Linked DNA regions of Caenorhabditis elegans. The protein of the gene in region 2 purifies or fractionates together with the protein of the main gene of each other region. This does not show direct contact. Each region holds a gene or a part of one and is shown on either strand. Other genes may lie near its edges.

Region 1 (3,589 bases), 7.5 Mb from region 2:
AGTAAATCTCATGGTATGCGCCAAAAATTAGCCAAACTTCGCAACACACCGAATTTTACGCGCATATTCATCAAAAACCTTTTTTTTTTAATTTTCAGGCACCGTCACAATCCAATACTCGCACATTTTCTTCGCCTTTGTCGCGTTTTTCGTTCTCTCGGTTGCCGTAGTCGCTGTGATTCGTCGGCGATCACGACAAAAATCCGGATTTCGAAATCGACGTGGCGGCGGGCACGGGGGCCCGAGCATACTGCAACAGGATTCCGACGAAGACGATATTCTAATCAGTTCTATGTATTCTTGAATTTCGTTTTTTTTTTGGCACGTGGGGTGCCAGGCTGTCCCATTACGGTTTGATCTACAAAAAATGCGGGAATTTTTTGCCCAGAAAAATGTGAGAACTCTGCGTCTCTTCTCCCGCATTTTTTGTAGATCAGCGTAGATCAAGCCGCAATGAGACACTCTGCTAACACCACGTGTTTTGGCTGTACTACTTTTCTCTCTTTTCTCACTTTTATCTCGGGTTGTGTCATTGAATTATGAAGAAAAAAATAAATCAAATACATAAAAATTAATGGCGATTCAAATTCTATAGAGCTCCGGTTTCCTTGAGCAGTGCGGCGAGTTTTCCGTTCTTGGCTCCGGCCGCTGTGTCGTCACCGCCGCCGAAGAACTTGCCGTTGATGAAGACACGTGGCACCGAGCGGGCTCCGGTTAGAGAGCCAAGATAATCCTGAATCTCATTGCAATCCTTGCGCTCGTCGATTTCGATCCATTGCAGAGCGTCGGGCTTCACGTTGACCGATTCAAGAGCAGCACGAGCCTGAAAAATTGGGGTTTTTTAATTTTTCTCAAAAAATTATTTTAAAAAATGTATCCGAGACTCAAAAATTTTGCAAAAAAAAGATTTTGAAAATGGATAATATTTTTCTCAATTTTCACGGATTTCTGGCTTCCCTCATAAATTGAAATGGAAGAGTTTTTGCCGAACTAGGCCATTTGGCTCGGCCATATCTGGGGTAGATTTACGGCGCGTTGCGTGTCGCGTCGCGGCTCGATTTCAGTTGTAAAACTAAATGTATTTGTCCGTGTGGAGTACACGACACTTTCCCACGCGTTGTCCGGCAGCCGATTGTCAATGGAGCGCGAAAAATTCAATGAGGAATGCCAGAACCCCGTGACAGATTTTTTCGCAAATTATTGATTTTTGCCGTTGTCTTCAATTTTCCGAAAATTTCTCAAAAAAAATCGCTACGAGACCCAAAATTTCTGCATTTTCAGAAAAATACAGAAATGTTTGATTTTTAAGTTAAATTGAATTTGCAAAATTTCATACTGGTGCAACTGCGCTCTGTTGCACACGATTTTTTAAAATAATTTTTTTTGGAATAAATTTTTCAAAAAAATTGGGAAATTTCGCTGAAAATCCAGAAAAAAGCAAATTTTTTAGGACAAAATTGTTCAGAAAAATTTTTTTTTTTTTTTGATGACAAAAAGCAATTTTCGAGGAAAATTCAAATTTTTCAGAAAAATTGTGTTACCTTATGGCAGTACGGGCAGTACGATTTGCTGAATACGACAACTTTGGAAGATTGGAGAAGTCCGTCGACAAAGGCTTTTGACATGGTTTTTCTGAAATTTTTTGGTGTTTTTTCTCAAATTTTTGTTGAAAAAAAAAGGCAATGAAGTATAAGAAAAGCGTAGAGACAATTTGAATTTGAAAAAAATTGGGGAAAAAAAAATTAGAAATCACATTATCATCAAATAAATAATATATATATATATATATTAAATTTACAAAAACAAAATTCTGCGATATTATATAAAAAGGGAAAACATAGGCTTTAAAAGCAGCAAAAACTGAAGAAAATGATGATAAAAATGAGAGTGGAAATAGTGTATGGAAATGAGAGAGTGGCGAGAGAAAAAGAGAAACGGCGGCGACAATGACGTAAGAATCATGACAAATAGTGTTATTAGGCGAGGAAAATTCGGGAAAAAATACAGTTGTGAAATACAGAAATTTATAAAAAAAATTTTAAAGAAATTTCGAAATTACCGCCGTGCGGTGGAGCACAAATGCATTTTTGATATTCGATTAAAAAAAAATTTTTTTTTAATTTTTGGGCTTTCTAAAGCTAAATGATTTTTTTTAACTTTAAGGAGTTTTTAAAAAATTTAAAAAAAGGCCTTGCAAATGCGCTTCATCGCAAATTTGATGGTAGAGATGAAAAATTGGAGAATTTGAAATTTTCACGTGGTGTCAGAATGCCTCATTTCGATTTGATCTACTTTGATCTACAAAAAATGCGCGGGGACTGATTTCGCATGGTTAAGAAAGCGCTGACGTCACAACATTTTTGGGCGAAAAACTCCCGCATTTTTTGTAGATCAAACCGTCGATGGGACAGCCCCTGGCACCACGTGAATTTTGGGAAAAAAAATTTTTAAAAGGTTTTTTTAAACGCTTTTTATTTTAGACAAATCACTTTTTTTTAATTTGAAAATTAGTTTTTTTGCACCAAAAAAATTTCAAAAATCGGAAAATTTTGAATTTTTGGGATCACTTTTACTTAAAAAAAAACTCGTTAATTCGGAAAATTTTACGATTTTTCTGAAAAAACTCTGCAAATGCGCTCCATCGCGAATTTGCTGGTAGAGATGAAAAATTGGAGAATTTGAATTTTTGGCGGTACTTTTTGCCGAGTTTTTGAGAGAATTCATCAACTTTTCACGAAAAATTGATATTTTTAACGCTTTTTCTGATGAAAATTGCAAAAAAAACCTTTAAAAATTGGGCTAATAACACTTTTTTCAATTAGAAAATTAAAATTTTTGGGATAATTTTTTCCTTTAAAAATCCCATTAATTTGGAAAATGTTACGCTTTTTATGAAAAAAAAATTCAAAAAAAAAATTCTGCAAATGCGCTCCACTGCAAATTTGTCAACCATGTGAAATTTTAATTTTTAGGATAATTTTAGGATAAATTTAGGCTAATTTTAAAGTCGAAAATCCAAAAAAAAAAAAAAAATCAATAAATTATTCCTTCTTCTTCATCTCATCATCTCCACTATTTCTTCCAGTGATCCCTTTCAAAGTACTCATAATTTTTTTGAAAATGCCACGTGGCTTCTCCTCCTCTTTCGCCTCGAATGGCACAATGCCGACGGAAAACGCTTCGAGCGATGGTACAGTATCCTCAATCCACGTACCCGTGACGTCACGGCGGGAGAAGATCGGGGTGCCGATGAATTCCGAAATTGATTCTCCCTGTGGAAAAATATTGTTATTTTTTGGAAATATATCAATTTTTGAAATATATCGACTTTTGAATCAGGTGGGTGGGCGGAAAACGATTTTTTCCGGCAAATCGGAAAATTGCCGGAATTGTAAATTTCCCGCAAATCGGCAAACTGGGAATTTGCCGGTATTCAACAAAATTCCGGCAATCGATTTTCTTATCCGTTTTTTTTTTTTGGAAAAATATGTTTTCTGAAAAGAAAAAATCGATAATCTGGAATTACATATATTGAAAAATATTGATTTCACCGGAAAAAAAATTTGGAAAAATTTTGGAAAGAAAAAAT
Region 2 (3,835 bases):
TTAAAATTTGAAGTGACTTAGGGAACATTGTTTTCTAGAAGTTATAATTTAACGTCTGTACACGACTTTTTCTCTTCTTCTGTCCAATTTCTTCTGTTTCTTGTCATCCATTTCATCTGAGTCTGATCCAGCGGTCAACCATGGTAGAAGGAATCCAGCAACAAATTTGTATGTGGCTGCTCCAGGAAAGGCGAGGAGCAAAAGGAATCCGTATGTAGAATAGAGTGAGATGATCTGGGAACAGAGTAAATTATACATTTGAAGATAGAATATTTCATTTTTGAACTATTAATGCGCACTTTCCCACACTTTTTTTTTGCAAAAACTAACTTGAATAATGACTGTCAGAATAATGGCGTCTTTACAGTATTCTCCGAATGCTTCTGGATCGTTCAAATCGGCACCAGCATCCAAAACATGTCCTTTATCGTCAAGCTTTGCTTCTAAAATCATAATTTCAGATTAATACAAAAAATTAATGGGTAAGACAAACTTACTAGCTAAAGATTTCATGAAAAGAATAGCAAAGATCTGCACGAGCGCTGAGACAGCAAAAAATACATAATCGGTGGAAGAGCACTGGCTCAGAAACATACACGATGAATAGTAGATTGCCTAAAACAATTTTTAAAAAATCGTTGAAATGTGAAATTACAAATGTTTACCATGCTAATCGTGCTAGCCACACTATAAGTGGTGACAGTCTTCTGATTCTCCTCATAGATCTCTTTCTGCCCTTTTGTTGCTTGTTTCACCATCTGTATTTAATTTTTATATTTTTGAGGTCATTGCTGAAAAAGTCAAAGGTATTGTAAAGGTTGAAAAACCACTAATAATAACGAATTAAACAAAATTTTCTCGATATCTCGGAAAGAAAATGATAAAAACTTCATTCTTTAGTTTGAACCGATTTGCAAACTAGAAGTTTGAAATTGTGCGAAATAGTAAAACGACACGAAACTGTGTGGGGAAAGAAACCGATTTAGAAACATGGAAAAAGCCGGGTTGAAATAGATATTTAAGCAATTTGGTGAAAATTCAGTTCTTGAAAAATTGTTCAATACGGGGACACATTTTGATAGGAAAGTGGACGAATTGATATCTAATTGTTGTGCAAGTCAAGTCGGAAGATCTCGTTTCCGATGAAGTAGGAACCCTGATTGTTTGGACGGAGAATAAAGACTTGCGAGAAGGGATTGATTGGATCTTCGTCGGTCTGAATAATTTTTTTTCGGTTTTTTTGAAAACTACTTCTACTTACCTTGAGCTGACCAAGAACCATCACTTGAATTGATCCATCATACAGAGGCTGAGAGTCAATCACAGTGATCGCTCGTTGAATTTTTGTGAATCCGAGAGTCTAAAAGTGTTTCGTTATTGAACTCTCGTACTTTTGCACAAACCGTGAACTTTTGGAGAATTCCGTCACGGCCTTTCGCTTGCTGTCCTTCAAAAGTCATGTAAGAGTTTTCTGGGTCGTACAAATCGGAGAGTCCTGAAATTCACTAAGTTTATTGTTTTTTTCAGACGAAATACCTTGAGCACGACTCATTCCATCGCCAACATCGAACTTTGAGTAGTAATGTTGAATGAAGGCCTTTGCAACACTTTCGTAATCAGGATTGAAGCTCATTCCTTTAAAAACGACAAATTGGGAAAAATAATTGAAAAAGAGTAAAAATAAATAAGATAGGTAGGAAAAAGCAACGAAGAATACGATAATTTTCGAAACAATTGAATTATATATTTACTCGAGATGGGTTGTCTCAATAAATTTTGAAAATTAGTTGTTAGATGAGCAGTGGTCTTGCTCGCATTGAGAAAAATAAACAGCAACCAAATTGTTTTTTTTTAGTTTTTAAAGTTTAAACCCTCGGCCTCATGTTTCAGTTTTCGAAAGAACAGTATTGTCTTCCTGCGTTTTGTTCGTTCTTGGGAAGTTTAATTAAAAATAATTATGAATTATTTGATTCCTCACAAGAGAAAACCGATTAAAAAAAATAAAAATGCCTAAATAAATTGGAAAATCAGAATAAAATGGCAAGGTGCCAGCATCGCGCGCACATTTTGTAGCATAATCCAGCGGAGCGCGATTACTGCACAGAAAGCGAGAGAGTGTGTAAACGAGAGAGAACACGTTATGAGCAGAGAAATCGCCTTGTCGTCACTCTTTTTGTTGAAGAGGCGCAGAGAAAAAAGAGTTGGTTGGCTCTGTTTTTATGTCTCTTTGAGCTCGCCAAAATGGAAAACAGAGCTGGAAAAGCAACAAAATAACGACAAAACCACTGAAATTATGTTCCTCTTTTGTTGTTGCTCCATTTTTTATTTCTTTCCATTCTACCAATTGAATAAGAAGTTAAACTTTATTCTTACTCCGTAATGTTGGCATTTCAAAAATCAATTTTCTGTAATTTATAGAAACTTGAAATAATTTTCCATCTCTGCGCATCCTCATGCCTTAGCGAACACCATATATGTATGTTCTTTCACTCTTCCCTTTTCGGCACCTGACCAGTCTTTTGAAGCCAACGTTTTCTGAAAATAAAGAACCGTTACTATTATATTTTCACATCATCCAGAACTGAAATGATATCAATTTTCGAGAGCTCATTACATCAAACTCATCCAGTCACATTTATGGTTACCTTGGTAACAGTTCATTGACAAAATTAATGCAAGCAATTCCGAACTCATTACATACTGCTTCTCACATGATTATCAAAATTCTATGAGCGATACATATACTCAGTTAGTTTTCAAATGTAGATTTTTGTAATTGAAAGGAAAATAAGTAAGCCAAACATTTTAAAACTAAATTGTATACCATTTTGCTGACTGAATTTGAGCAAGCTTTAAAACTCCCAAATTTTTTTCTAAAAATGGAAGAAAATTTATGTGAACCTCTAACTATGTGTCGATTTACCCAGCTTGTGTAATAGTTCGAGAATCAAAATTTTTTTAAAGTTTTTGGTCTTGATTTTTGACAGTATTAATTACATCTTTCTCAAAAGGAAAATCCCATCCAAGATAAAACATTTTAGCCTGTAAAAGTTGTGAAATCGCCTTAGAAGAATATGTGAGCTTTTTTCAAAAATCTCAGTCACATTTTGGAAAACTGCCAGATTTTCTAAAGATTTTATTTTTAGTAATTCCGAGCATCTTGCAGGTTCATACAACGTTCAAATACAAATTATTGGAACGTAGTTCAAATATAAAACTTGTAGAAAAAGCAACGTAATTGTCACTGAATACGAAAACGTATAGCAAATTTTGAAAATGTTAACTATGATGTTCGCCAATTTGACCATATGAGTGATTTAATTTAAACCTTTAATTAAAATTTTCATGAATGTGGCCGAGTTTTTTCACATTCGCGGCCACGCAACGCAGAAATATGTACATGGGTACAGTAACCCCTCCTGTCGAGTTAAATATACTCTTATAGGAGAGAGCTCTTAACTATTCACATGTACGAAAAATAATAATATTTGCCAATTTTCTCGCTCTCAAAATTCCATTTGAAAGAGAGAAAAAACTGTTCTCGATACACGAAGAAACATGCGATATATGTTAATCATAAAACCTTCTAACTTTTTATGTCAGTTTCTATTCTCTTCTCGATTCTCTTTACTTACGAATTCTCTTTCTTCTTCTACCCTTCATCTGTTTTGCTCGTTGTGCAATTGTCAGGAGACATTTAATCCGAGTTAATCAAGAATTTTCGAAATTTATCTGAATCCGATTTTGTTTCTCTTCAAAGTCAGAAGAAATCATAAAAATAATATAAAAGAGGAAGAGGATTATACAAATTTAGAAACATTATTCATTCTTTTTA
Region 3 (7,386 bases), on a different chromosome or scaffold from region 2:
AATCATCCGTATCTAATTTCGGTGTTGATAAAATCTTGAAAACTTACACCGACCGACAAAAGTACTAACAGGTAGGTTAGAAAAAGTTAAAAAATAATGAATGATGCTCTGTCTGTGTCCGTGGTCGACAATGTACACGGCAGATGGCGGGCCCGCCGCGAAAAATCGATATTGAAGCGACCGATGATGATTTCATCAGAGATACACGCTGGCCACTGGCATAACCACATTTTTAATTTTTTTTTTTTGAAATTATTAAAGTCAACAGATAGTTTTAATTTATGAATTTATTTTATTTTAATTTTAAAATTTTGAATTTCAGTTTAAAAAATTAAAACCGTTTTTATGTTGATCTAAATAGTAATTTTATTTAATTAAATTTTCAAAATGTGATTTTAAAATTATTAAAAGGTAAGTTTGAGTTTTTCTAACTAAATTGTGTGGAATTTCTCTCGAGAATTGACACAAGATACATTTAAATGACACTTTTTCGGTTCAAAAAGTACCTTTTTAACACTCTGACCATTTAAAATACCGGTCATCCGCCAGAAGTGATTGTTTGGCTGAAATAGTAACAAAATATTGTTATTTTAAGAAACACAATTGGAGAACGGTGTCCGCTCTCACTCTGCGGTGGTGGCGGTCGCTCCAATAGAGGCTTGGCCGGGCGAACGCGGCGATGCCTGCGTATCTAACTACGGTATGCATTCAATGTTTTCTGCCAACCGCACTTTTTACAGAATCCAGGAACACCAGTTTCGGGGGAAGCTTTCACATTCGGAAACCTTTATCAAATTGACAATTTTTCATTTATATTACACTAAAACACTCAAAACACCCTCCATTATCGATTTTTGATCCAATTGCTGAGTTGGAACTTTCTTCTCACTTACTAATAAAACCTGTGTTGAACGCTATGAAAATTATTTAACATCTTGCTGATCTTCTCTCGCTTTGTTCATACGAGGGCCTCCCTCTCGGCGATATTCTTCCACCTCTTCTCCTATTTTTCGTACAGTAAATGTTCTTTTTTGTTCCGCTCCTCTGAATTATTTCAAGGATTACGTGGAAATTGAGAGTGAGAGTGAAGAGTAAAAGAGAAAGCGAGAAAACAGTGATTTTATTGATTTCAGCGCAAAATCCACGTTTCACAATGAAGCAGAAACCGACGACGCCAATGTGTGGCGAGAGAAGAAGGCAAAATGAAAAAGAATTTCCAGCGAGGCAAAGAGAAAGAGCGCGAGACGCTAGTGTCTGTGTGCATCGCGCGCTTGAGGTCGCCTTCCATGGCGTAATTCTTCGTGTTCAATGAGATACTCGAGCAAAATCAGAAAATATTGTCATAAATATTTTTGTTTACGTTGTAAAATCTATTCTAAAGATCGCCGGTGAGAAGAGAGTCGCGAAATTTCGAAGCGTTGCGAAGTTAGGCAAATTTCAAGAGCAATTAATTATTAAACGCTATAAACTTTGCTGAAAATGAAAATAATGACTTTAAAAACTGAAGTGAACATTTAAACGATATTTGCGCCAAAAATAAATTATATTTGTTCAGCAGTATGCTGGTTTTTCGCGCAAAAAAAATTAGAAAAAAATGTGATCACTGATTTTCTCTAGTTGTGCATTTGTTCGTCATTCTGTTTGCACCCATCTAAATCTACCGTACTCTCTGAAGTTATTGATTAAATTTCTTTCGCCACGTTCATTCGTCTCGTCAGCTAAATATTTATCTACCGTTGTGAACTTGTTTTATTTTGTTCTTTTCTCGCAATATAATTTCATTATACAATTTCAGCGGGTTACACGAGCTATCGACGGATGTCGAATATACCGACAGCGCCGGGAAACGTTGGATTTCCGCAGGCGTACGGTCAAAACCAGAATCAACAATATCAACACGTCCAACAATTCAGTCAGTTTTCTCAACCATCTGCGGCTCCGTTAAATAATGCTCCTCCCAATTATGCAGCCAATCCGTTTCCTTTTCCGACTGCAACGACTTCGCAAGAGCCGGTATGTATTGATTCTCATCTTTACTTTCATATTTCCATTTCCTTCCTTAATTTTCTATTTTCAGGTGAAACCCGTATCTCAAATCCCAAATGGAGCACCAAGTTATCAATATAACCATGCTGCGCCAAATTATCCAACTGCAGCTTCAGCTTTTCCAGCTCATTCTGCAGGATTTTCTCATCAACCACCGTCCTTTTCACCCGCTACTCAGCCTTCTATGAACGGCCATCATGCTCCACCACCACCAGCTGTGGTATGGTTAATACTGCATATACAGAAGAATTGAATGTTTTATTTCAGTCCCGACCGCCAGCGTTTCCAACTCCACCACCATCAGTTGGTTCAGCAGCTCCAAGTATTCAGCCTCCGATCCCATCTGCACTTGCTTCAGCCCGACCTGCTCCATTTCCTGCTGCTCAACCTCCACCGGCACCAACTCCAACGCCTTCTTATCAGCAACAAATGGCTCCACGGCCTCAAGCACCAGCTGCTTATCCTCCGGCTTCACAGCAACAAGGATATCCTCCCCAGCCACAGCAAAATTCACAGTATGGTCAACCACAAGTCCCACAACCTCAAATGCAAAATATGAATCAGCAATTTGGACAAATGGTTTATTCATATTTGTTATTTCCCCGTATAAAGTTGATTTTCAGAACATGAGCGGAGCTCCTGGTCCTCAGCAACAAATGGGCGGGTATCGCAATGATATAATTGATCTGATTGCTGAAAGAAATGTTCAACAACTTGGTTTTGAAGATATCGAGATTCAGATTCCTCAACAAGTCGCGAATCCGAATGCTCATGTTGATCCAAAGTGAGGATTTTCTCTTGAAGAAGGAATTCTGTTTGTATAAATAAACTCAAAATGTGGCCGAATGGACGAATTTCGTAGTGAGACTTCTCAAAAATGCCTTCGCTACTGGCTGATATCAGCTAAAATCTCGAATCGCAGCTGTCGGAATTTGACTTTTATTTAGTTTAAATCCTTTATTGCATATTTTGATCGATTATCTCGCATCAAGAAATTGGTTCATCTGACCAAATTTTGAGTCTATACAAGCAAAAATCCAGAATCGTTACTATTGCAGATATTAGAAATATTAATAATTTTCTCTTCAGTATTTTCCGCTCAACACTCGCCCAAGTTCCACAAACAGAAGAACTACTGAAAAAGAGTCGATTACCATTTGCAATAACACTTCATCCGTTCCGAGATGTTAAGAATCTCAATATTATACAAACATCGAATATTGTACGTTGTCGGTATTGTCGGACATATATTAATCCATATGTATATCTTCCTGATCATCGACACTGGAAATGCAATCTCTGTAATAGAAATAACGACCGTATGTTGACTGAAAAATGTGAAATTGAGAAAATGCGAAAACCATTTTTTGTTTTCAGTGCCTGATGATTTCTGCTGGGACCCAGTGACAAAAGCATTCGGAGATCCTCGAAACAGACCGGAAATTCAAAATGCGACGGTTGAATTTATTGCTCCATCGGAATACATGGTATTTTCATATTTTAAACGATGTTTTTCTAAATTTAAACAAGCGATTTCAGTTACGTCCACCTCAACCTGCTGTCTATGTATTCGTGATTGATATTAGTGCTGCAGCAATTCAATCAGGCTATTTACACACATTTGCCGAGCAACTTCTCATCAATATAGATCAAATGCCAGGAGATGATCGTTCTCAAGTGTGCTTCATTGCTGTCGATCAATGCTTGCATTTCTTCTCATTTTCTAGTAATAAGCGGTATCCGAATGAAATGATTGTAGACGATATCGATGACGCTTTTCTTCCATCAGTCACATCACTGCTTGTTCCTATGAAGAAATTCAAAGATACAATTCGAACTTTTATCAAGCAACTTCCCGAATTCTACTCTCAAATCGGCCCAACTTCAAATGGAAATTGCCTCGGATCTGCATTGAAGCTCGCGCAGAGCATGATACAAGAAGTTGGAGGAAGGATATCAATCTTCCAAGTCAGCCTACCAAATCTTGGATTAGGAGCACTGAAAAGCAGAGAAGAATCGACGGAAGGTGGTCAGAATTTGGGGCCAGCAACCGATTTCTACAAAGCTCTATCGTTAGAGTGCACCGGATCGCAGATTTGCCTTGATCTGTTTATGTTCAACACGCAATATGCTGATTTGGCAACTCTTTGTAGGTTTTTTTGGAGAATTCCTTTTATTGGTGAGGGGATGCTGTCAAATTTTTTAAAAACGAAAAACTGACATTTTTCAGATTCGGTGTATCAAAAAACCTCTGCAAATACAGTTTTTATCTTGATACCTGGAAAATTAAAAAAAAAAATCAAACAGTTAATAAATCGTAGTTAGATCGATTTTCCAAAATTTTTTTTCTCGATTTTAAGGTGTTAATTTGTAGATGCTGAATCCGAAAAAATTCCAGTTTTTCGTTAAAAAAATGTAGAAAATGTCTGAAACACCACAAATCCGGGGCAGCTTTCAAATTGTCTGTCAAATTTGAAAGTTAAATTCAAAATGATTGAAAATAATTCCATTTTCAGCTGAAATTGCAAAGTTCTCGACAGGATGTGTCTACCATTTCCCGAACTACAACTATCGAAATGATATCCATCAAGTAAAACGATTCGAACGGACTCTCACTCGATATTTGACACGAAAACTCGGATTTGAAGCAGTTCTTCGTATTCGAACGTCTCGTGGCCTCGCTCTAACCGGTTTCTACGGAAACTTCTTCGTCCGATCTCCAGATCTTTTGGCACTTGCCAACGTGAATCCAGATTCTGCACTTGCGGCTCAAGTGACACTCGAAGAGAAGCTTCCGCAATATGTATGCTTCCAGTCAGCACTACTCTATACATCGAGTAAAGGTGATCGTCGTATTCGAGTACATACAATGTGCCTTCCAACAACTGGTGATCTACTTCAACTTTACAATAATTTTGATCTGAAAGCTACGGTATCCTATCTGGCTAAAATTGGAGTAGAACGATCTATGACTGGAAGTTCACTTGCTGATTCAAGAGAAGCACTTGTAAATGCAGTTGTCGACAGTGTTGGAGCATATCAGAAGGCTGTATCGAGAGGAAGTGGAATGCTTGTTCCACGTGTCGGTCATCTTCGGCTCTTCCCAAGTTATGTGCTGGCTATGCTCAAACATGTAAGCCTTGATTTGTAAAAACTAAATAAATTTAAATAATTAATTTTCAGCCAGCATTCTCCTCGTCTCGTGGCATCCGCCTAGATGAACGAGCCGGCGCAATGTTGATGATGCGATTCAGTCCATTGGACCAAATTCTGTCTGACATTTATCCACGTCTCTATCGGCTCAACGAACTCGCCTCAATGCCAGAAGATCAGTCGCCACCAGCATTACCACTATCATTCGAGCATATCAGTCGTGGAGGTGTCTATCTGATGATAACTGGTACTATTGCCTTTGTCTACGTGGCTTCATCCGCAGATCCAGGTTTCCTGGTTAATGTTTTCGGAACTTCTACGTATAATGATATTGATGAGGTGAGATTTCAATTGAATAGTTTTAAAAACATTTTAAATTACAGTATTCCCTTCTGGAAAGAGATAATGAATTGTCGAGAAGAGTGCACGCGTTCTTCAAGCAAGTCACACAATTCCGATTCTATCTGGGACCAATAATAACGATTAAGTAAGTCTTTAATTTAACATTTATTGAAAAAAAAGTTTTTATTGATTTTCTAAATTTTTTTGCCAAATAAAAACTCAGAGCCGTTTGAAAAAATTTGCGATTTTCGATCTCAACACAACCAAGTATTTGTTTAAATGAAAAAGGATATACGCTTTTTAAAATTACTACTGTATTTTTTAAAGGCTACTCCAAACTCTATGTTTTGAGCGTGGTATACGTTTTTACACATTTCTAAAGAATTTATCGTATAGTTTGTGCAAATGTGTAAAATAACTTAAGATTTAAGAAACGGGTGAAAAACGTATTGTTATCAGCTACAGTACTCCCTAAAGGCGCATGCTTTGATTTGAATTTGAGGACGCTTCGAGACCGGGTATCGTATTTTGAAACATAAATCTTTGTAGAGTTTTGCTTTGAAAAATCTGAAATATCTCTTGAAAAGTTTCACTCAAAGCTTTGATGGAAAAATCAGATTTGCTCAAAAAATTAATTTTTGCAGAGAACACTCGCCTCTCCGTGACGTGTTTGTACGGCGACTTGTCGATGATCGGTCAGAATCAACACATTCATATGTAGAATTCCTGCAGCATTTGAAACGAGAGATTAGTGGTAATTAGTTGATCAATTTTCATCCTCCATGCCGTTCCCATCATCAGTCAGTTCATCCGTGTGACATATCCATTCCCTCTTTTTTGTTCCCGTTTCCCAACAGTGTCCCATGTCTTTTTTTGCTTTGGTGTTTTTTCTTTCTCCGTAATTATTATTATTATTGTTCTTATTTTCTCTTTTTTTTTTGAAAATTCCGTTCTTTCTTCAATGTGCTCGAGTTGAACGGATATGGGTTTATCAATTGATTTTGTGTTTTTTCTTTCTAGTTGTGATTATTCTCCCCGTCTCTTGAAAATCCTCTAAATATTTCAACCATTTTTGGCCCTGCCTCACCATACATTTTATTTGTCGCCCGTCTTCCAAAATTCTTCCAAAAATCGATAAAGTGATAAATACCAAAGTGTATTTCTAATTATTATTATTATCATTTTTCCTTCCCCTCAAATTTCCTGTTCAATCATCCAGCCGACCCCCGTTAGGATTTTAATGTTACTTTTTTCTTGGTTTTTCAAAATAGCAATATTTATTACGATTTTTTGTTGCTTTTTGCACTTTTGTAGCAAAAACTCATGTGAACAGTTTTATTATCAAGTTTTTTTTCCAAGGATCTATGGTTTTTGAGTTGAAAAAACATTGAATTTTGAAACAAAAAACCAAAACTATTATACACAAAAATAAATACTCGTTATGATTTTCCGGCTGATTGGAAAAGACATAAATAACCGGATCAATGAGACAAATATCACAGAGCTTGCGGAATTATATAATGGGGGGTCTCAGTTGGAGGGGGAAATATTGTTTAATGTCGAGATGTTGTCTGTTGTTCTTCTGGTGGAAATACGGCAATTGAATGTGGATGCACTTGATTTGGATTCGATGTGGCAACGTTCATTTCAATGTCACCTGAAAAAGATTATGCTCAATATTCAGAAATTGCTCGAATATTGTAGAATCAACGAAAAAGGATGGTGGTGCGGTAGAGCGCAGTTGCACGAGGAGTATTTTTGAAAAAAAGTTAATTACTAATTATTCATTCTGCAAGCAAAAAAATAATTTTGGTTCCTTGAAAATCGAAAAAAACCAAGCTTTCA

What was found.
Region 1: the proteins of ran-4 (region 2) and glrx-10 fractionate together in Caenorhabditis elegans (co-fractionation; one large-scale study listed by BioGRID). This does not show direct contact.
Region 3: the proteins of ran-4 (region 2) and sec-24.2 fractionate together in Caenorhabditis elegans (co-fractionation; one large-scale study listed by BioGRID). This does not show direct contact.

What each region holds. Positions count from the first base shown.
Region 1 is NC_003279.8:1,047,639-1,051,227, reverse strand, and holds glrx-10 (Glutaredoxin-1), read right to left. Parts: upstream 1,633-3,589; 5' UTR 1,626-1,632; coding exon 1,542-1,625; intron 824-1,541; coding exon 590-823; 3' UTR 501-589; downstream 1-500. Other genes in the region: Y34D9A.8 (Low-density lipoprotein receptor domain class A), read left to right, coding at 99-304; Y34D9A.7 (PSP proline-rich domain-containing protein), read right to left, coding at 3,042-3,272.
Region 2 is NC_003279.8:8,589,015-8,592,849, reverse strand, and holds ran-4 (putative nuclear transport factor 2), read right to left. Parts: upstream 1,636-3,835; 5' UTR 1,634-1,635; coding exon 1,537-1,633; intron 1,496-1,536; coding exon 1,404-1,495; intron 1,361-1,403; coding exon 1,262-1,360; intron 1,217-1,261; coding exon 1,103-1,216; 3' UTR 872-1,102; downstream 1-871. Other genes in the region: tmem-208 (Transmembrane protein 208), read right to left, coding at 49-234, 331-443, 498-615, 666-758. UniProt on the Caenorhabditis elegans protein: Facilitates protein transport into the nucleus. Could be part of a multicomponent system of cytosolic factors that assemble at the pore complex during nuclear import.
Region 3 is NC_003282.8:12,355,202-12,362,587, reverse strand, and holds sec-24.2 (uncharacterized protein), read left to right. Parts: upstream 1-1,795; 5' UTR 1,796-1,818; coding exon 1,819-2,013; intron 2,014-2,077; coding exon 2,078-2,266; intron 2,267-2,313; coding exon 2,314-2,625; intron 2,626-2,669; coding exon 2,670-2,830; intron 2,831-3,135; coding exon 3,136-3,365; intron 3,366-3,423; coding exon 3,424-3,533; intron 3,534-3,585; coding exon 3,586-4,195; intron 4,196-4,562; coding exon 4,563-5,179; intron 5,180-5,229; coding exon 5,230-5,538; intron 5,539-5,582; coding exon 5,583-5,686; intron 5,687-6,185; coding exon 6,186-6,303; 3' UTR 6,304-6,886; downstream 6,887-7,386. Other genes in the region: ZC518.8 (Glutathione S-transferase), read left to right, coding at 680-700, 741-824; best-22 (Bestrophin homolog), read right to left, coding at 7,095-7,198.